Mus musculus: one gene and its partners. The protein of the gene in region 3 interacts with the protein of the main gene of each other region in a biochemical or structural test. Links are inferred from orthologs where the notes say so. Each region holds a gene or a part of one and is shown on either strand. Other genes may lie near its edges.

Region 1 (7,276 bases), about 87 Mb from region 3:
TGATAAGAAGCAACAATGACTTGAAATCTATTAACTGTTGAAAGATACTAATGGCAGACAAAGCAGCCAGGCACGGTACACACCTCTAAGACTGCCAGAAGCTCAAGGCCAGCCAAGGATACACTGCAATACTGTCTCAACAAACAACAAAGAAGACAGGTAGACACCAACACTAGACCACCAGCACAAACATCAGCTCGCTAACAAACCATCAACTAGAAACTAGCAAGTCACACAGTACCTCATTCCTCCGCACCAAGAAATGGCCTACTGCATTCTTTCTAATTACATTTCTAAAAACATTTCTGGCAAAGCAAATTATTCTAACTGCTTACTCATATTAATGATGAAAAATTGCCATTCTTGGCTAAAGAAAAAAAATCATGAACTCTTGATAAACTTTCTAAAATACATAAAATATGTAACTTACATTAAAATCTGTATGTAGAGCCAGTAAGACAGTTTAACAAGCAAAAGCAGCCAGGCGTGGTGGCACTCTTGGGAGGCAGAGGCAGGTGGATTTCTGAGTTCGAGGCCAGCCTGGTCTACAGAGTGAGTTCCAGGACAGCCAGGGCTACACAGAGAAACCCTGTCTCAAAAAAACAAAACAAAACAAAACAAAAAAAAAAAAAAAACAAGCAAAAGCAATCGCTGTGCAACCCTGATGACATGTGTTCAATCCAGGACCCAGGACAAGAGAGAAAAGTCCCAAAAACTGTTCCCTGCTCTCTATGCACACCTGCACTCAAACACAAGTGCACACACACACTGCCTCCCTACAAAATATATAAATGTGTGTGTGTGTATATTGTGTGTATATATATGTGTGTGTGTGTGTGTATACATGCAGGCGCATACGCGCGCGCACACACGCACACACACACACACACATACACACACAATAATAATAATAAAATTTAAAATATAAATCTACACATAAAGTCAAGGACCTATTACACTTTTAAGATTTATTTTTATTTAGTGTGCATGCATTAGAGGATGCTGGAGGAAGTCAGAAGGCATCAAATGCCCTGGAGTTGGAGTTACAAGCAGTCATGAGCCACCCAGAATGGGTTTCAGGAATCAAACTCAGGTCCTCTGCAAGAGCAGCAAGCTCTCAACTACTCAGACACCTCTCCAGCGCCACACCAGAGCTTTTAGTTATGGACTTATATGCTAATAATTCAATATACTCAAGGCAGTGATTTCTTTTTCCAGTTTTTTGAGACAGCTTTGCTACATGGGCCCTTTTGGTCTGCTACTCACTACACACCCCTAGGCTAACCTGAAATACACAGCAATCCATCTGCCTCAGCTTTCCCAGGCTGGGATTACAGGATGCAGTAGGAAAAGGATAGTGATATATGTGTTATTTTCATAATCTAGACTATTTTTCACAATCATGACAAGTGTGTACTTCCTACGTAGATCAGGCTGGCCTCAAATTCAGAGTGTGTCTAAGCCGCAGGCATCTGTCTTGAAAACAGTATAGGAGGCTACAGGCAGGGCTTTGGACAGGGTAGGCAAGCGCCTGACCACTGAGCCACCTCCCTAGTCCTCTAGTTTGTCTCCTTAGGTACAAGCAAAAATGTCTCCACATTTCCTACCCCCGCCTCTCTGGTAGGCCAGGTTATCCTTTGTGGATCACTTCTGTTAGAATGTGGTAGACTTTGAATTGAATGACTATATTAACTAAATTCCAGAGTCCTCCTTGTGCTGGATGCCTGGGCTCGTGGGAGAGCACCGGTCTAGCTTAGATGAGGCCCTCAAGTTTAATCCCCTGGAGCACCCGTGCGCCCCCCCCCCAAATTAAAAAGGATTTACTGTATTTCTTCCAGTTTTTATTAATTTTTTTACACTAGTCTTGGGCTACCATATTCACATCCTATCCATCAGCTTTTAACTTTCAACTTTGTCAATAAAATCGTTATTATCCCAGTTACCCAGGTTGAAAACCTTCATGGTAATTTTAACACATCCTCATTTTTTATAATTAGAATACTGGTGAAAACAGGTAAGACCAGGTTGGCCCTGAACTCTTTTTTTTTTTTTTTTTTTTTTGGTTTTTCGAGACAGGGTTTCTCTGTGTAGCCCTGGCTGTCCTGGAACTCACTTTGTAGACCAGGCTGGTCTCGAACTCAGAAATTCGCCTGCCTCTGCCTTCCAAGTGCTGGGATGTGCACTACCACGCCCGGTGGCCCTGAACTCTTAAGAGACCCTTCTGTCTCTGTCTCCCAAGTGCTGATATTAAAGTTGCGTACTATTATACTTGCCCCAAACTGAATTCATATGTGCAAGAATGCTGTTAACCAGTCCTGAGAACCTGGGTTCAGTTACCAGCACCCACAGAGCAGCTCACAACCATCAATCTACAGGAAGAGACCTAACGCCCTCCTCCTTGCCTATACGGCATCAGGTATGTATATGTACATGCAGCAAAACACACACACATGTAAAATTACATTTTGCTTTTACAAATTAAAAAAGGAAAAGGGAAACAAAATTTGTCTATTCCTAAGTCCAAATGCAGAACTCGGACACAACTCACCCAGCAGCTACAAGTCTTGGGATCATCTCTTTGCATGCTATCGTCACTTCCTTTGAAACGCCCTTTCCCGTGACTAGTCTACACTTCTTCTCCTTCCCTTTCCCCGAGCTATGTGCAGCGGGACAGTTTATCCTTCACTTCACTCCTGTACATATTATCAATGAAACCAGCTTGCTACCTCTGCTAGCCGGTCCTTCCTACAGATATTACATCTCCATCACCAGCCTCTCAGGTCTTAGGATGGCTTCTGATATTTTTCTCCTTCTCTATTCTGCCCTCCTCTAGAACAATGCTCTTAAAAATGGTCAACAACACACTATGGAAGAACAAAAGAATCCACTTGGCATCAAGGGGAAAAAATATTCATTCATTCTTCTTCTTCTTCTTCTTCTTCTTCTTCTTCTTCTTCGATACTGGGGCTTGAACTCAGGCCTCACATAAGCTGTGTACACTGTCACTAATTTACAAGGCTCTATACTTAATTTTCCTCATGGCACCCTTTCTTATACTCTATTTCTGACCGTTGATTACATTATTTGTTAATTACTATAACCTTGTCTATATTAATAAAGACACACAAATTAAGAGTATGTGCTCAAAATTTGTATTTACTAGAGTTCAGGCACTTGCCCCCAAGCCTGATAAAGAGTTTAATACCTGGGAGAAATGACTCCCCAAGTTGTCTCCTGACCTCTGCATACATGGGTGTGTGCGCACATACACATACACACAAAATAAATATAATTTTAAATAGTTTAGAAACAGCCCTTCTGAAGAATATGACACCGAGTAAGTCCCAGACTATGCGGAGCACATATGTATACACCAATGCAGCTCAAAGAAAAACTCATGTTCAGACCACATGGAAGGAAGCCCTAACCATGCCCACCCATCGACAGCCCCGCCAGCCATCTCAGAATCCTGTGTCCTACTCGGATAGGCAGAACAGGGTGGTTTGGCAAAGCCTTTCATTTCTAGTTTGGAGAAAATACTCTGTTGAAAGTAAAAAGATACGGAAAAGGGTTTCACAGTTCACCATTCTGACACTGCTCACCGCCTGGTTCATAAAGCACATACCGAATATGCCACCACAATCTCTTAAAGATTCAGTACCTATTTCCCAATTCCTCAGGGCACGACTCGTTCCCGTCGTTCACAACCGGTTTATCCTCCCACCTCCTGAACCTGAGCTCATACCTGCCTTCATCCTTCCCTCCCTGGGGATACCATCCACAGTTCCACAGTCGCCCCGTCCTGTCCCAGGATAGCAGGACAGTCAAGCCTGGGTCCCTAAGACCCCGGTTCGTGCTCGCCGCCGCCGCCGCCCCCAGACGCTGCCAGCCAGGCGGGGGGAGGGGTGTGCCTCGCCTCCCGTGACTGGCCCAGATGGCAGCCGATTCCGCCCCCACTCGCGGGCACCCCTCCAGCCCTCGCCCCCCGAAGGCTGCCCATCCGCCTCGCACCTCGCCCCGACCCCACCCCACCCCTCCCCGGCCTCCCTCATGCCCTCCACCGGCTCCGGACACACTCACCGTGCTGGGTGAAGACGTTGAAGCCGGCGTCTGCGGTACGCCCCGCCGGGTCCCGCCTGCGGCCCGAGGGCCTGGCTGCGCTGCTGCCCCGGATCCCGCGCGGCTGCGGCTGCTGGAGCCCCGGAGCCTCCCCGACGCGGCCCACCTGCTGCCCCATCCCGCCGCTCGCGTACTCCCGCGCCCCCGCCGACCCTTGCTCACATTCCTCCTCTGCTCCGGCCTCCGGAGCTCCTGGCGCCGCTCCGGTCTCTCCGGCCCAAGCCCAGGCCCTCTGGGCCGGAGTTGCCGGCGGCTCCCACGCGGACTCCTCGGAGCCGCTGCCGCGCTGCCTCCCAGCGACTCACAGACTCTCCTTCTCCCTCCCCCTCCGGCGGCTCCTCGCCCCAGCCGCCGCCGCCATCTTTAAACCACCGAGCACAGGGCGAGCGTGGGACAGAGCGTCTCCCGCCCCCCTCTCGCCCAAGCACCTCCGCTACTCGGTGGGCGGAGCTCGGCGGAGCCCCGCCCCGCGCCGCGCCCCGCTGGGTGGAAGCCGGGGCCCACAGGGTCAGCGAAGCTTTCGAGGGCCCTCGAGTGCTTTTACTGCTACCTTCACCCACGTTCGGCTCCACACACTGCCCCACTTGGAGGACTGTGGGCGCCCGGCCTTTCCCGTCCCACCTCCACCTGTCAAATCAGAAGAGGCTGAGAAGCCACCACGTGCGCCGCGCAGCTCAGCACCAAACAGCTGAGGCTCCTGATCCCTGGGCTTCGCTGCCATTCAATTGAGGAGCCCTTCACACACACTTAGCATTGGGCCCAGAATGAAGTTTGGAATGGTACAGAATTCACGGGGAGATGGTCAAGTGCGGGGTTAACTTAATTCGGTGAATTATTTCTTGATGTGCACTTTGCCGTCTTATTGGCAAAGCGGTTAGAACTCAATTCTTCATACTACCGTGGATTTCTCTTGAACTCTTCCACCATCGACCTACCCGCATGTGTTTCTGTTTACTTTAAAACGCCTGGTGGGGCGCTGGTGAGATGGCTCAGTGATTAAGAGCGCCGACTGCTCTTCCTAAAGGTCCCGAGTTCAAATCCCAGCAACCACATGGTGGCTCACAACCATCTGTAACAAAATCTGATGCCTTCTTCTGGAGTGTCTGAAGTCAGCTACAGTGTACTAACATATAATAAATAAATGAATCTTTAAAATAAATAAATAAATAAAATGCCTGACAGTAAAGCGACTCTTCTCACAGACATGCTTTCCTCTCAGTGCAGGTTGGGCCCTCCTTTTTGGCAAGGAAAAGATAAATCACTTTGACCTTGTTTCTGAGTCAAAACTTACTCATCTTCACCGTCTGGGGTCTAAATAGAGAAATGGACAGAAGAGAAGCTATTTTTATAGATGTACACCCTATGTGCCATGAGGACTGGAGCCATTGCTTAAACCAAGGAAAACCACCCTGGGGAAGAAAAGAATTAGCAAAATAGATATAATTCCCCATACATGTCTTTTGTAGAATGGTGTAAGATCACAAGTGCATGTGGGTGAGACTCAAACTCAGGACCTTGAGTTCCAGGTGAGTGCTCTACCACTTGCTACTACCGCCCCCCACTCCAGCTGATTTTGATATTCACTATTAAAGAGCCTTAGGAGCTGGGGAAAGATGGGTTAATGACAAAGAAGACTTGCACTGCAAGCCTGACCACCTGAACTTGCTGCCTAGGACCCACACAAGCAGCTACTGGTCATAGAGAAAAGCCAGATGCACCAGCCCAAGCTCTGTGATCCCAGCTGGTCCACAAGAAGGGGGGAGGCAGAGATAAGGGGGTCTCCAGAAACCTGGCTTACATGTGCAGTGGCTAAGGGACCCTGTCTTAAAAGAAGCAAGAACTGACAGTAAAAGTTGTCCTGTGACCGGCACGCACACACATGTGCCCACACTAAGAACACTCTAAGTTATTTCATCGCCACCCAGGGTACAGCCAGAGACAACGGAATTTAGTTCCCATTGAAAAGAAGCACTACACTTTAGCACTGGATGGAATATGAATTTTCATTTATATCAAAGTCTATCTGTATTTAAAATACCCTTTTTTCCCCTGAGTGTCATGTTGTACCACTATTATAATAGATCCAGAGACAGTTGGATCACAAATTCAAGGCTAGACTAAAGTGCATCGTAAGAGCCTGTCTGAGAACAAAAGTGGCCACACACCTCGATGTTATGCTATGGGCTTGTACTCGCACTGCTAAGAAAGCTGAAACAGGGAGACACTTGACTTGAGGCCGAGAATCTGAGTGAGACCAACCTGTGTGGCATAGCAAGACGCTGCCCCAAATACTATTTATTTTCTTTTCATTCACAAAGTGGTTACAGTTACTGAAGAGATTAATTCACAAAACACAAAGATGATCATAGAAGTAGGATTTGTTTTTATTGTTTGTTCTTTTTTATTTACCCGTGGAATTTCAACTTGGTGACAACAGTTTGGTTTCTCTGCTAATTCGTGAATGATGGACAGTAATTGCTGTGTAGAACAGTGCTGTGGTTAAGGGCAGGGACTCTGAAATTAGAAGGCTTAAACTCAAAACTTAGCTCTAGCAGAACAGGGATAGTTATATGCCTGCAACCCCAGAAGCTCTGAAGGCTGGAACCAGAAATCAAGCCATCCCAGGATAGATAGCAAAACCTTTTATAAAAACAAGCATGAAAGTAAAAAGAAAAAAAAAAAGAAAAGAAAAGAGGGAAGGAGAGAGGGCAGGAGGAAAAGCATATTTGTTGTAAAAGAAAAAAACCGTCTGTGGTGGCACAAACATCCAGGCAGATGCAAAGCCTCATGTAAATATATACTATTATTCACACACACACTCAAAATATAAGGCAGAGGAGGAAGATTCAGAAGTTCGAGGCCAACCTTGTCTCAAATAAACAAAAAACAGTAAAGCAAAAGCAACAGAGCAGTGCTTGTAGAGTCCGTTTACATAGATTCTCCAACGACAGTGGATTCTCTAGTTCTGTCTTCTCCTTGTTTACAGAGATTCCCCAATGACAGTGGATCCTCTAGTTCTGTCTTCTCCTTTCTGGTTATGTTTTAATACAGTTTTTTATTACCGAGAATGTCCTATGTATACACATGTATTTTGATCATATCCTCCCACTTCTCAGCCCTTCCTCTGCCCTTGTCCCTGAGTGTGGACAACCAACCT
Region 2 (7,287 bases), on a different chromosome or scaffold from region 3:
TTATTGCTGAAAGGGATCTGAGGGAGGTGACAGGCAGCTTCTGGCACCTGTCCCCAGGGGAGAAGTAATGGAGAATTCCTTTTTCCCCCCTTCTGTCCTCCCTTTTCCACTTCCATTCTTTTTCTTATTTAATAGAAAAGAATAGCAAAACATAATGGTTTTATAGGATTTCTGCATGCTAATAGGAGCCACAAAGTTCACAAGATGCACATCCAAGGAGGGGGGCATACATCCTAAAGTCTGACTCTTGTAATCTGATCCCTAGGATAGTTGTTACAGTCCTAGGAGTCTAGTCCCTCTTTGGTGTTTTGTCCTAGCCTGTGGGTAACAGGATCATTTTCCTTGTAAGTGACAAGGGTTTTAAATAAGACAGCTTGATTCGGCAGCCACCTTCCCTGTGATTAAGGTTAATATGACAACTAGAGAATGAGCCAGCAGCCTTTTCTGTGACTGAGGTAAAGCAGGTAATTGCTATCGGTGGGAGTGACATAACACCTTTTCAGAGCTGAGGGTTATGTCCTTGGTGTTCCCTCACACCTGCCAGGCTTGTAGCTACCTGATTCCACCCAGTCCTTGACATTTAAATGACCTTGGCTATGGATAAGCTCCCTGTTCAGTCCTTGAATGTAAGGTTTGAAAGCAGACATGGTAATCCATGAGGAAACTATAATCCTTGAGTATGTCAAGATGCTATTTTTATTTGAAAATTTACATAAATATTGGCAACTAAAATCTTAAGCATCAAGTGCTTTGGTATTTGGTATTTGGATTTCTCGCTCTAAAAAACTTCATGTCCATCACTAGAATCTTTGTTAAGAAAACTCTCATTTTCTCAAAATCAAGTAAATGAAGCGAGAAAATGATCACATGAACCATTTCAAAATACTGGTGCATACACATGCAGGTTGTGTAGAGGTGAACTTCCGATGACTCATTTGTGCCTGTGAGCTTGTCATAATCCTGGTTGCAATCATGCAAATCCAGCCAGGCTTTTGTTGGTGGCAGTGGTAGGACAGAAAACATAGTTTAAGATACTAATGCTCTTTGAATCATTCATAATTGTGGAGTAATTTCATCTGGAAGGAAATTATAATATTCTTACCTCCTGGCATGTGAAAAGGCTTAAATAAATATACTTCAAAAACAGTAGAATTGTCCTGCATAAAATGAATTGCAGATTTTCTTAAGAGTTGAGCATTGCCTGTCACTGCCCTGGGTCTGCATGGGATGACGATGTTGTCTGGATTTCGAGAGAGTTTGTAAGAGTTCCCCTATGGACACAGTTCCTTGGAAGTCATTTGGTTCCTTGGAAGAGTGGCTTAAATGTTCAGATGCACAGACAGACACTGGAACACCACGGAATGTTCCCTGGAGCCTGTGCTCTCTCTTACAGTGAGTTTCTTCCATTTCTTCCAGTACTTCAAGTCCTGTTTCTAAACAAACAAACAAACAAACAAACAAACAAAAATCAGCATGGAAGCTATCTGTAAATCACAGTTTCTGAAACCTAATCCACAAGGCACGCTCTGATTGAAAATTCTCAATACTGGCAGTGCGATTATAGCTGAGGAGATGTGGTGTGTATTACAGTGCCCAGGGAATTCAAGCCTCCTCTGCAGTGTGGAGTCAACATGAAAGGCTAATTTGAAAATGAAGCGGTAGATAGCGTAAGTGTTCCTCTTAGGTTGACATTATTCTAGCTTACTCTGGATGGAATAAGGAGGACTCAAATGTAAAGAGCAGGAAGACACTCGGGACTTTTCCCCTTCCCCCACCCCCCCTCACACCCCGCCCCGCCCCCGCACACACTCAGCATTTCGCTCTGAGCATTGAAAAAGTCTTTAGCCACAAGAAGGTGGCTGAAGGAAGAAGGCAGAGCTGTCCATGGTTTAGAAACAGTGCTCTAACTGCTGGTTGAAAACCGGGTAATAAGAGTCCTGTTAGTGAACAAAACTTATTAGAGAACTGGCTACGGAAGGAAGGAATGCCGCTGAACAGCAGGCAGGAAGAAATTGCTGTTGAAAAGCCTACCTCTCTGGGGAGGAGTCAGAGATCAGACTTTGCCAAGCCTCAGGTCTAACCCAGAAGGTCCCCACCTCCACCCCCCACCCCATCCCCCTCCATCCCAGCTTTGTTAGATTGCTAGCATCATCGATCCCTGGCTTTTTCTGACCCCACAGTGGGTGAAGAGGAGAGAGCCAGCAAGACTGAAAGCAAGCAAGGTGGAGTGTGGGATGGGAGACTGGGGCCTGCTTTGGTAGAGGGAAATTAGAAGGGGGGGGGGGGGAGGAGGCCGGGGGAGACCCAGTTTAGCTGGTTCCCGGCTGCTTCTCTTTTCTCTGGCCTTTATTCCTTGTAATTGGATAAAATAGGAACTCACTGGCGGACCTGCGTTGCTGGGTATACTGTACTTATTAGAGACCAGCTAGCAGTAGAGTGGGGACTGGGGGTGCGGGGCACAGGGGAGGGAGGGAGGGAGGGAGGGAGGGAGGGAGAGGGAGAGAGAGAGAGAGAGAGAGAGAGAGAGAGAGAGAGAGAGAGAGAGAGAGAGAGAGAGAGAGAGAGAGAGAGAGAGAGAGAGAGAGAGAGAGAGAGAGAGAATATATCTTTAGGAGGAGGAGGAGGGAAGAAGAGAAAGAAGCTATGAAGAAGGAAGATTGCAGAGGAAAAAGTGACTGAGCGCAAGAAGGACAAAGAGGAGTGGTTGGGGGTGGGGGTGGAGGCAGGGCGGGGAAGGGAGTTACCGCCCCTCCTGGCTCCTCCTGCCCTCGCATCCTTGTGCAATGGTACTGTTTGCCGTGATGCTCAGAGGGCAGGCACCTGCTGCTCTGTAATGATTCAGCCTCTTTCAGCCGCTGCGTTAACACGACAGGATGCTGTTGCTACTGTCGCTGCTGCCCCTCCTGCCGCCGCCGCTGCTGCTGCCGCCGCCTCCTCTGGTCTTGCTTTTGCTTTTACTTCTCCTGCATGACAGTTGTTTTCTTCCTCTAAGCAGACACCAGCTTCAGACGCTTGAGGTGAGAAACATGCCTTTCAGTTTGGGATACTGGTTTACTTAATCAGCTAGGCATCAGCTTGCTTCCTCTTTTGGTCCCCTGCCTTCTTGAACCAACCGGGATGGTTTGGAGAAGCCTTTGAAAGAACTGAAAAAGTGTCCCAGAAACAACAGCTCAAGATATTTCGGTACACTTCTATTTCATAGTTGCTAGAAGCCCTTCCTTTTTCGTTTCTTTTTCTTTTTTTTTTTTTCCTTTTTTTTTTTTTTTATCTTTTTCTTGCTTCCTCTTAAGCTCTCTTACTTTGGATAATGGCCTTGGACTTGGGTGCCTTATCGATTTCCCCCTTCAAGATGCTGTATCATTTGGTTGGGGGGAGCTCTGCATGGTAATGCACTGTGAGAGAGGCCGGGCCTTCTGGAGGTGATCCGGATGGAGATTTATCCCCCAGACATGTCTGAGGGAGCTGGCGGGAGGTCCTCCAGCCCCTCCACTCAGCTGAGTGCAGACCCATCTCTCGATGGGCTTCCGGCAGCGGAACATATGCCAGACACCCACACAGAAGATGGGAGAAGCCCTGGACTCCTGGGCCTGGCCGTGCCCTGCTGTGTCTGCCTGGAAGCGGAGCGTCTCAGAGGGTGCCTCAACTCCGAGAAGATCTGCATTGTTCCCATTCTGGCTTGTCTAGTAAGCCTCTGCCTCTGCATTGCTGGCCTAAAGTGGGTATTTGTGGACAAGATATTCGAATACGACTCTCCTACCCACCTTGACCCTGGGGGGTTAGGCCAGGACCCTGTTATTTCTCTGGATCCAACGGCTGCCTCCGCTGTTCTGGTCTCATCCGAGGCATACACTTCACCTGTCTCTAAGGCTCAGTCTGAAGCCGAGGCTCATGTTACAGGGCAAGGTGACCATGTCGCTGTGGCCTCTGAACCTTCCGCAGTACCCACCCGGAAGAACCGGCTGTCTGCTTTTCCTCCCTTACACTCCACTCCACCGCCCTTCCCTTCTCCAGCTCGGACCCCTGAGGTGAGAACACCCAAGTCAGGAACTCAGCCACAAACAACAGAAACTAATCTGCAAACTGCTCCTAAACTTTGTAAGTAGTGAGAGAAAGAAAGGCGATGGTGGCTTAAAAGAAAGGGTGGGAGGGAACTTCCAGAAGGCAAACTCTAGAGGGTTAGCTTTTTCCTTTGAGTTTGCATTTTAACCGGGAGGTTTTATTTGGTGAATCACGTGACAGGGAAAAAAAAACAAAATAAAGCAATTTTATAAACTCCTAGGATGAATCAGGTCTTTTAACAGCAACTCCATGTAGCCAGGTTGTTAAGTCTGAGGTTGTCAATTAAGAACTACAAGCATCTTTGAAGTTGGGCTTTGGATGTAAGCTAAGGTCAATTGATTTGCTATAGTTTTAGAAGTTAATATCTGACTGTCCTTCATATTTTAATAGGCATGTAACGTCGGTGTGCCAATAAGTATTATTTGGTATTGCGCCTGCCATTCAGTAGAGTTTCTTTCGACTTTCTTCTTCCCATTCTGTTTCCCCGGAGCCCCAAGCTGCCTGTCATCTTTCTCCAGCTCTTCTTCCTGCCTCTTTAGTACATCTCTGCACGTCTGAATTGTCATTGTTTGATTCTGATACTGCAGCAAGTCTGAAAGACACAGTCCTCCCTCTGCTGTCCTCAGACCTGTGCCGTACATACATTTGGTTACTGAGAACTGACCAGAGGCAGTTTGTATTTTGTTCAAGACAGACTGCAGTTTTCCACAGAAGGATTTTCCTAAATGAGTTTTGTCTTCTGTAATCAAGCATTTAAGTACATTCCTGCCCAGTCGTTAACAAGGTACCTCTTTCTTTTTTTTGAACGTGTGTCATTTAACCCCATCTTGTTGCCAAAGCCTGGCTTAATAACTTGTGTGGGAAAAGACTCCACGCTATTAAAACAATCCAGAATGAAACACTGGTGTGTGCAGAGGTCATTGCCTTAGCTTTATGATGGAAAGTTGACAGCCATGAGATGATGACTAGCCAGATTGTCCCAAATGTCAGCACTGAGCTGGGTCTTTTGGTTACAATATTTAAAGAAATGTTTTTAGTGTTTTCAGTTCCTGTCTTTCCCACTCTTTCTTATTACCATCGATGAGTTTACTTAGTAGGAAAAAAAACCCCTAAGATATGAGAGAATTTGATTCTCAACAATGCATGTGAAACACTTTAGTGTTAGAAGGAGCTGAGGGTAGAGAGTTTATAATAAAGCGCCTCTTCAGTTTTCCCTCTAGACCGTAAGGAAGAGTAAATAAGACCTCCTCCATGCAGTGCTGTTTAGAATGAAGTTGTGCACTATGCTAGGGAAACTCAGGAAAAAAAAAAACAAACAAACTTGATATGTGCACTCCATTCAAGGTTGTTTGACATCTTCCAGCTTCAGTGTAAAGACTTCAAAAGGATGCCTGCGTTTCGTTTCCAGGTGTAATTGGGAGAGCCTCCTGTATGCAGATACCACTTTGCATCTTCCATCAAATCCCTAAAGCATCATTAAAAATCTGACAGACTCTCTGCCTTTGCCGCCTCTCCCCACCTGGCAAAGTGACCGGGAAATAATCCCCAGATGAAATGATGGGCTATAAAAAGCAAGTGCAGTTCCTGCAGAGAGGCAGCATTCTCCACGCAGGCCGACAAGGTTACCTCTTTGTCTTTATTGTTTTCAACAGAAAAAGCTTCAGCTGAGATATGCACGCATTGGTTGAAGTGCCCAGAAAAACTGAGGAGGTAGCTCTTTGAGAAACTCTTCCAGACCAACTGCAATTTTGTCATCTGATGTGAACAGACAAAAGAAACAGACAGCACATGTCCCTGAAGTAGGTCCCCATTAGAAAGCCCTCAGAACTTTTGAGAAATTGATTTTGAAAGGAAATTCTACTAAGTGTTTTTATAGGCTATATATTCCAACCCAACCCACCCAATCTGTCTGTCTCTCTGTCTCTCTGTCTTTCTGTCTCTGTCTCTCTCTGTGTGTGTCCTTTTTCTTTTCCTAGCCAAGGCATTGATTTTTATGGCATTAGCAATAAGTAGGGAAGATTTACTGCTGCTTAAAAGCCTCTGCAGAAGCCACCTCTGGCCTGAGCGCAGCTGCAGTATTCTGAAATGTGTCCAGCACAATGTCTGTGAAGCAGTTTTCTCTTGAAAAGTTGGGGGGCTGGGGTGGTGGTGGTGGGGAAGACAGTTGATTAAAGCTCTAGACCTGCGGGGTTCTCTATGTGAAAGTCTTACCTTTTTGGACTTAGCAAGACTCAGCATCCGTCAGGTGAGGCTTGGTGAGTCCAGGAATGTTGATTTGCAGACCTGCCGTTGGTTGCTTTTCTGTTGTTTAGAAAGGCTGTGGTCATTAAGTGAAGGAGAAGACAATGCTTAGCCTGGGGCCCTTGTCTTGTCTGCTTTTTCATCTGGGTTGGTTGAGAACGTTCAGTTTAGTTGTAGAAAGAACTGGACTTTCTTCTTCGCTGTGCAGGTTTGACATGGGCTTTGCCATCATGGCCTTGGTTTTCAAGTGACATGATTGGCTCTGAAACAAGCTCGGCCATGGTTTCAAGACGGCACCGTCCCTTTCCCCCTTTTCTTCTGTCTCAGCATAGTCAGCATCTCAAGCGCAGAGCTCTAGCCTTCAAGGTCATTGTCTGTGCAGGGCTAATTGATTCTTCTTCATCCTGGAGCCCCAGAAACTGGACGAGTGGCAGACATAGCTTTATCATCGACTCTCTTACTCCCAAGCCCAGTTGACTGCCTTGTCTTGAGATCTTATTTTATAAATACTAGAATTATCCACGTCTTCAAGGACTCTGGAAAAGTTCTCTATCTTTGGTAGAATAAAAGACAAAACATGAAACAAAATATACCATTCTTTTTCATTGCCTGAGGGTAGAGTATCTATGTTAGGATTCTAAAACTGGAGGATTTTTTCAGAAGATAATAAGACTTTTCATGTTTTCACTCTACTAAGTACACAATCAGACTTTAAGAAATTGGATGCAAAATTGGAATGAAAACATCTGCACTTATATTTTTTATTCTAAAGTTTTTATCATCATAATGGCTATATTGTCATATTAATCTTATAGTTTATATACAGTCACATAATAATGGAAACTCTTGTGCCTCTGTGTTGTTATAGTGTCAACCCAAGGCCTCATATGTGCTGGATATATGGTCTGTGCTATCCCCAGTCTGAACCATTAGCTTTTTTCTTTATCTAAGCTTTAAAACTTTTTTTTCCTGTCTTCCATTTATATG
Region 3 (7,476 bases):
TTCAAGTTGCAAAGTTCTTTTCTCATGCCATGCAGTTCTGGTTTCAGATAACAAAGGGAAAACTGAACTAGCTAAATGAAAACACTACAAAAAGAGCTTGAATCCTTTCCAGACCCATCTGGACTTTTGTTCCTTTCAAATGGCAGTTTCATTCTTTCTCGTTGCACGGACAGAATGAATGTGAAACTTTTTCTTTCCCAGGAACAGAAATCCCAGGGAGGGACGTGGTGGAAAGGACTGTCTCTCATCTAATCAACAGTGACTGATGCATTTTTCTGTGTTTGACTTGTCCAACTTAGAACCACTAGAGTGTTGTAATGTGGGCAGATTTCCAGATTCATAAGAATCAAGGGAGAAGGTATTCAGCAGGTCGTTCCTGCTCCTTGTTTGTGGTTGGAAAAATAATGAGTTACTTAGTCTCTCCCCAACCACCCACCACCACCCCATCCTCACGCCTGGCCTGGTTTTAAGTCTCAGCTACACATTTTAGTCAAGTGATAAGATTTTATTATAACACCACACTGCAAAGTGGGGAAATACAGAGATCTGTTTTTGCCTCTGGCAATTCAGATAGCATGTCCTTCCCATACCAGGTAGAAAATGTTCTCTGTGATCCTTTTCCTCCATGTGCTAATTCAGCAGACATGGGAAGCTGATGAGAGCAGACATATAAAATAATAATTCTTTTATATTCTGTTTTAATCTTTATGGCCCCACTCAGGATACCATGTTCCTCTATACATGTCTGTTTCTGATTGAAATGATCTAAGCTAGGCTTTAAAATATAAGATTTGTCCCTATTGAATATGGCATGCTTCTATAAGTTACAACTTTTATGTCCAGTTTGTAGGCTCGAAAGCTGTTGGTCAAATGTCAACCCATGGCCAGGTCAATTACTGTTTGATTCAGTAAGAACCAGGAAAATATAGGTCAAGACAAACCCAACTGAGATTTAGATACAAATTATAGGTACCTTGGCAACGTAATTGGTGAAAGTCAGCTCTATGGAGATGGTGACATCTATGATTGTAACTAAAAGTCCTCTTCTGCTAAGAATTAGTCTGGAAAATGTAGGTGAAGTAAGAACACATATAGAGGTCCTGCAGCAATATATAAAGATCTGCAGCAATGGCAGGATAGGAGTTATTATTTTTGAGTACTAAGACTTGAACTAAGGGTTTCATGCATGCCAGGTACTATACTCTCAGTCTCTCTTCAGGTAAATGAAGACAAAGAAATCCTCATAATAGGCACATCTAGAAAACAACACGAGATATTTACACATCCAATCTTTTTCTCATAACAGGAGTTATAATTTAGCTATTATAATTTCTTCCCTTTTCAAAAATAACTGTCACCAGAAACTGGACTCCAACAAAATGTAGGAGCTGAAACTCCCTCCAGTCCCCTAGAAGTAGCTTGTTTTGTCACTGAAATTGTTATTGTGGTGGCAGATGTAAAAATGAGCAGCTTTTACGGAGAAAACGTATCTGAAAGTAATCATAAGCTGATGGAAGACAGGTAAACTGGGCCGAGATTGTGTTAAATGAAAGGAAGAAATGAGATAAAGACGAAAATAGAGATAACTCCCAAGCCCGGTGCATGTGCTTCTGTAGTCAGTGCCATTCTAGTCAAGGCCCCTTCTCTGGCTCTGGGGATCCATTTTTTCTCTGCCCTGGGCTGCTTCTGGATAAAAAGCACACGCAGTTTGTTTGACCTGCAGTGGGCCTGTTACACACTGTGGGGCCAAGGAAAGGCTTCAAGCTTCAGGCTTCTGCTACTGCTGTTTTCAGCTGCCTGGGAATTCTTAAGGGATGGGATCATAGTCAGAAGATGTGGGAGATGGGGAAGGACTCCAATAGTGACCGAGGAAGTAGGGTGGTTTGGTTTTAAAGCACCCTTGCTTTTTTTTTTTTTGTATATATTTAGTCACTGCTTTGAGAGCAAGCATAGAAAATGCCTTCATAGAATAGCTGTACACATAGCAAAGGAGTATCCTCTGACTCACTACAGGTTCTGGCCCCAGCATAGAGCAGTTTTAGACCTGTGGCCTCTCAGACTACAGTAATCCCTTCCAGGGCATTTTAGACTTAGAGAAACTTAGTCGTACAGCGGTTGATGACCTTGGAAGCACACACCCTGCAAAGAGGGCAAGTGCAGGGCCTCAAGCTGGCCCTGCTATGGCGTGGCCCTAACGGCTCGAAGGTCAGCTAAGATCTCACCTCCTAAACACCTTCAGACCGAACAGCACAGACGAGAGAGTTTGCATAATTTCAGAATCAAAGAATGTGGTTTCACAAATATGGATTTTTAAGTTTGGCCCAATGTCATCTTGGGAAGGTGGGAGAGATGGCTTATTTGGAAAAAAAAAACTATTGGAAGATTTCATCTTACCTGCGAGGCTACCAGCTACCTACAATATCCATTCTAAAGTACTAAGTATGCTAAGTATGGAATATTCTGGGTGATGGCGAGGGACAAAGATATTTTATTCCCAAAGCAACGTTGACTTTCTATTTCTAGGGAAGGTTCTGTGTATGGACTGACACCTTGGAGCAATAAAGAAAATGCCCTGTTCTTGTGTCAAAAAATTCGTTCAGCAAGCATTCCTTCTGGTGGACTGACTACTCAGCGGGCCAGCTGTCCAGGGCCTCTGCCGGGGCAGCCCCAAGGGGAGCGTTTCAGACAGTGGTCTCCACTGAGCTTCTCAGATCCTGCTTCCCCAAGCTCCTACCATGACCCTGCTGCTCCCACTGTCTGACAGGTGTTTTTCCAACTCTAGAGGCAGAGGATTTTGGGGAGTGTCTGAGCCAATAAGATTTCTCCTTAGGGGGAGGGCGTGGCTACATGGGTCAGAGCAGGGGCGGGGCTTGCGCAGCGGAGGAAAGCCTGGCTGGTTGTGTGGAGGGTTGTTTGATTCCCACCCCCCACTCCCCTCTTTTTTTTCTTTCTTTTCTTTTCTTTTCTTTTTCAAAAATCTTTCTTCTGACTCTTATTAATTTCTCTGTGGGGCTGCGGCTGGAGACCGCGGAGCGTTGGAAATGACGTTCGGAGCTTTAATTACTGCAATGGCTGGACAAGTGTGAGGAAAGCTGACAGTGGAAAAAAAGGGGGACAGGATCGGGGAGAAGCAAAGAAGCAACACCCCCTCCTTTTCCCTCCAGATTTGGACAGGAGGTGCAAGGAGACTGAAGAGAGAGCTGAACATAGCCCGGTTTTGGGGGGAGAGGCCGGAACCCCGCCGCCTCTTTGCAATCAACTTTTTTTGGAAGCCTTTATTCCCTCTTTCTTTTTATTGTTGACCAACCAGTGAGGAGAGCGAGCGAGCGAGCGAGAAAGTGAGGAGGGAACGAGCGAGCGGAGGATCACTCCGGGAACTAGCTGTACGTTGTGCTCGGAGCACCAGCCGCACAGTCGCGCTCACTCCCACCCGCGCGCCCTCCTCCGCGGCCCCTTGCCGGGTCCGCGGGTCCACGGGTCCTGGAAGCCGCCGCCGTCGCCGACTGGCTCTCCGGCCCCGGGAAGCCCGTGCACCAAGCGCGCCGCGCCCGCCCCCCTTGCGCCCCCCACGCGCTCCCGGCTGAGGGGGGGAGATCTCCTCCGCGTGCTCGCAAGTGGCTATGGTATTTGGACATGTAATTGTCAGCGCGGGATCTGAGACTTGCCAAAAATGAAGCTGGCGACGGGACTCTGGGTCTGGGGGAGCCTTCTGATGGCAGCGGGGACCGTCCAGCCCAGCGCTTCTCAGTCAGGTGGGTCGCGGTCTCGCGGTTCCCGGTCGCGCTCCAGCTGTTGAACCCGCCACTGCCTCCGGTGTTTCCCTTCTCCCTCGCCCCTCTGTCACCCTTAGGCTCCAGGGACCCTAGGGACCGGGCTTCTGCCTTGGGTCGCCCCTAGCTCCATCCCAAACTTACCTTTGTGTGTGCGTGCGTGTGTTTTTAATTGATGCTACAAATGACTTCGCTTTCCTGCCACCCTCTATATTATTGTCCCCCCTCTCGCCCTCTCTTTAGCCCCCTTCTTTCTTTCTCGCGCGTTTTCTGGGAGCCTAAGCGGGATCGCTTCTGGTGGCGCCCGTTGTTCGGGGCGTGGGAGACCTGAGCCCGTCAGTGGAGGTTCCCTCCTTCTCGAGCTGGGAAGGGGGGGGGGGGGAATCAAACCAAACCGGAGAATCGCTGCACCTCTTCGGGCTGCCAGGAGGTTCCTGAGCTGAGCCTGGCTGGCCTTCCCCGGGGTGCAGGGCTGCGGCGGAGCGCGGCCGGGGAGCCGGGCTTGGCACCTGAGCATGCTGGCGCAGGGTCCCTGGCCCGAGTCTCCAGTAGCCTGCGGGGTCACACCGGACGCCCAGCCCTATCCGGGCAGCTGGAGCGCACCGGGTGCGCGCCTCGGCCGGGGGCCAGGGACTCTGGGCCTTCTTAGTTGGCATCTCTAGGCTGTCTTGAGATTGACTTGGGGCGAGAAAGAGGGTGTGTGTGTGTGTGTGTGTTGGGCGTGCGACTCTTCAGCCAGCATGATCTCTCTCTCTCTCTCTCTCTCTCTCTCTCTCTCTCTCTCTCTCTCTCTCTCTCTCTCTCTCTCTCTCTCTCTCTCTCTCTCTCTAAAAGAGCCTGGCATACTGAGTCCAGAGCTCGGCCTTCCCTCCCCATGCTGGACTTGGCTCTGGGAAGAGTTCTTCCAGTAGTGCAACTTGGGGTTGGCCTAAACTTCTGTTTACTGCCCTGCCGGGCTGCAGAGCTCGCGGGTGGCGCTCACTGACTTAGCCCGAGGCGGGCCGGGTGGCGGCGTCCTGAGCGCTGCCACTGTTGGCTGGATCGCCCAAGCCCCAGGTATTTGGACAGAAAAAGGACTAATTGACCCCGAGAGAAACAGTGTCGCTGTCGTGCTGGGGCCGCCAGAGCCAATGACAGCAGCTGCGATGTAGAGGAGCTCAAAGTTTCTTGACTCTTGGGAGTTACCCCGGGGATGAGAGGAGGGGACGCGAAAGGACTAAGGAGAATCTGTGTGTCTGACCTGGCCCAGAGGGGAGAGAAGAGGGCTTTTGGAGAAGGCAGAGAGATTTCCGGAACCTTCCGGGGCTGGTGGCGGGAACGTGGGCGTCAGCTTGAGAAGATAAAACATTCAGGAGTGGCGACAGGGAGAGCTTTAGGTCCCTAGAGGGTGTCCTTCTGACCTCACCGAGAAAGCTGCAGCTTGCTAGTTTTCCCGCTCCGCCCCCGCTCCCGCCTCTTCCTCCTCGCCTAGTAAATAACAAGTTACAATCTCTGAGCGGTTCAAAATGACCTTCGAATGGCACATGTGCGCCATTTGTGCTGGCCGTTTGCATACTCCCAGTGACTCTGAAATTCTTCCTGCATACCAGATCCTGCGCTCCAGCCACCTCTGGAATCAGAGCAGCAGCAAGGACTTGAGATTCCAGGCGGCCGCCTAGATACATCCCTTTCTAGCCCCCGACTCGGAGCCCTTTGCCTTTCCCCTCAATGGGTTGATTATGCACATTGACCCATTCAAAAACACTTGCCACTGTCATGCAGGCTTAGCCGAGAGGAATTTCTATCAGGCCACCCTACCAGGGAGCTGTCTGGCGTGGCCCGGGCCGCTGGGGGGATCCCCGCTTCAAGTCCACAGCAATTTGGTATTAACTCTGCAGCTCCCGGTTGGGGCTATGCCGAAAAGCCCTTTTCAGAATTTAGGCAAGGAATGTAATCCAAATTAGTTCTGCAGCTGTCCCCTTCCGCGTCTCAGAGGACACCAGCCTGCGCCCAGCTCCCTCTGCTCTTTTCCCTGGGCGAATTGTCAGACCCACAAGTGAGCCCATTTAGAAGCAGGAGGATTAGCGTGCCATTGTTGTTTCGTGTGTGACTCTGTACTTGAAATTCTAGGGGCACAAAAGAGAGCCTCACTTGTTCAAAACACAAAGTGATCTAGATGAAAGGGCCGCACAAAGAAAAGCTCTCGGGTGTATCCTCGGTATAATTGCAACAAGCATACTTAGGTGATCTATTGGAAACTGTCTGTGCCCCCAAGGGCTTCTTCTTTTTTTCCAGGCGCCTCCACCACACCTGACAGAGAAAGTTCAGCTGGTTTTAATGTAGTGCTATTATCAAAACAAGTCGCTGTCTGGTGAGAGTGAGGCTCTGTTTGCGGCTGTGCATGTGTGTGGCTGTCTATCCAAGTAAATACATAGCGCGCGTCTCCTCTCTCGCGGTTAGCAGTCAGCAGCAGTTTGGAGGAGTTTGTTTTGGTCCAAATGAGAAATTAAGTGCGGATAAGTAAACTAGGCTGCCAGAGGGCGACAAGATGTTGAGTGAATTGCTTTTAGATGAAACAAATTAAGGAAACGAGGGAAGACAATCTGCTTTTCGCATTATTAGACACGCTTGGAGTTCAGGGGAAAGTGGCAGATTTTTGAAATGCTAATTTCTTAAGCAGAAGGAATGCACCTTATTTACTGCTGTGTGTGAACGGAATAAAAACATATAGTGGGTGTTTCTCTTGTACGATCATCAAGACGTTTCTTGGGAAAATTGTACGCAAGAAAACTTGGTTGTTCTTTTGCTGGAGGAGGAAATAGTCAGCTTTTTGAGTATTTAAAAATAATTTCAAGAAATTTATGTCTGATTACCGGTGATAAATGTTATCTATAAATGTTTTGATCAAGGGCCTTTATATGGCAATTCCACCTGGAGGAATAATTCTACAATGTTTCCTTCTTTCTGTGGTGGAACTTATCAATATCGCTTTTGTAACTGAAATAAAAATATACAGTTGTGTTGAAGTGACATTCTCCCAAGTCTTAATATGTGGTGGACAAGATCATTTTTCTTCTCATGTGCAAGCTACTTAGTTCCCCTGCTTTTTATCTAAAGTGCACACATAGTCTATACACTTACGGCTTATTATTCCCCTCCCCCAATCTTTCAGTGGTATTCTACATTTAAGAAATATTATTAATGAAACTTAATGAGAAAAATATTACACAGATTTTTAAAAAAATGCATCAATCTTTTTTTTTCAGAGTGCCTTTGCAATGGTCACAACCATGGGTACGCTCTCCCCCTTTGTTCCTTTAATTTTTGAAAAGCATGCATTTGTACAAGCTAGCTTTACAGAAGAACATGGTTTTTCATTCTGAATACTTCAAAATAGATGAATACCTCGCATGGTAGCTTCAAATTACTTGAAAACACGGCAAGTTTCTATGGTTGAGATGAAGTGGAATAACTCTGCTCCTGTCCTCATTCCTGGTTTTTCTCTTTAACTCAACTGCCTTTATTTTAATCATGCATGCACAAAAAGTCAAATGTCTTGAAAATCAAGCACTTACAGAAATATATATATATATATATATATATATATACACATATACATATATATTTCCTTTACTCTTTGGAAATGTGTCTTAATTAGGAAATTACATCAGAATGTTTACTGAGGCTTTCATGTGCTGGAAGATTTATGTATTTTTTTATTCTAACC

What was found. The genes of interacting proteins can lie anywhere in the genome.
Region 1: the proteins of Erbb4 (region 3) and Abl2 form a complex in vitro, tested with the Homo sapiens proteins (2 studies listed by BioGRID and IntAct, with this or other methods). The link is inferred for Mus musculus from reciprocal best matches to the Homo sapiens genes ERBB4 and ABL2.
Region 2: the proteins of Erbb4 (region 3) and Nrg1 form a complex in vitro, tested with the Homo sapiens proteins (2 studies listed by BioGRID and IntAct, with this or other methods). The link is inferred for Mus musculus from reciprocal best matches to the Homo sapiens genes ERBB4 and NRG1.

Annotation. Positions count from the first base shown.
Region 1 is NC_000067.6:156,556,010-156,563,285, reverse strand, and holds the start of Abl2 (tyrosine-protein kinase ABL2), read right to left. Parts: upstream 4,500-7,276; 5' UTR 4,238-4,499; coding exon 4,081-4,237; intron 1-4,080. UniProt on the Homo sapiens protein: Non-receptor tyrosine-protein kinase that plays an ABL1-overlapping role in key processes linked to cell growth and survival such as cytoskeleton remodeling in response to extracellular stimuli, cell motility and adhesion and receptor endocytosis.
Region 2 is NC_000074.6:31,914,345-31,921,631, reverse strand, and holds the start of Nrg1 (pro-neuregulin-1, membrane-bound isoform), read left to right. Parts: upstream 1-2,788; 5' UTR 2,789-3,428; coding exon 3,429-4,095; intron 4,096-4,129; exon of another isoform or gene 4,130-4,843; intron 4,844-5,711; exon of another isoform or gene 5,712-5,858; intron 5,859-7,287. UniProt on the Homo sapiens protein: Direct ligand for ERBB3 and ERBB4 tyrosine kinase receptors. Concomitantly recruits ERBB1 and ERBB2 coreceptors, resulting in ligand-stimulated tyrosine phosphorylation and activation of the ERBB receptors.
Region 3 is NC_000067.6:69,103,951-69,111,426, reverse strand, and holds the start of Erbb4 (receptor tyrosine-protein kinase erbB-4 precursor), read left to right. Parts: upstream 1-3,367; 5' UTR 3,368-3,670; coding exon 3,671-3,752; intron 3,753-7,476. UniProt on the Homo sapiens protein: Tyrosine-protein kinase that plays an essential role as cell surface receptor for neuregulins and EGF family members and regulates development of the heart, the central nervous system and the mammary gland, gene transcription, cell proliferation, differentiation, migration and apoptosis.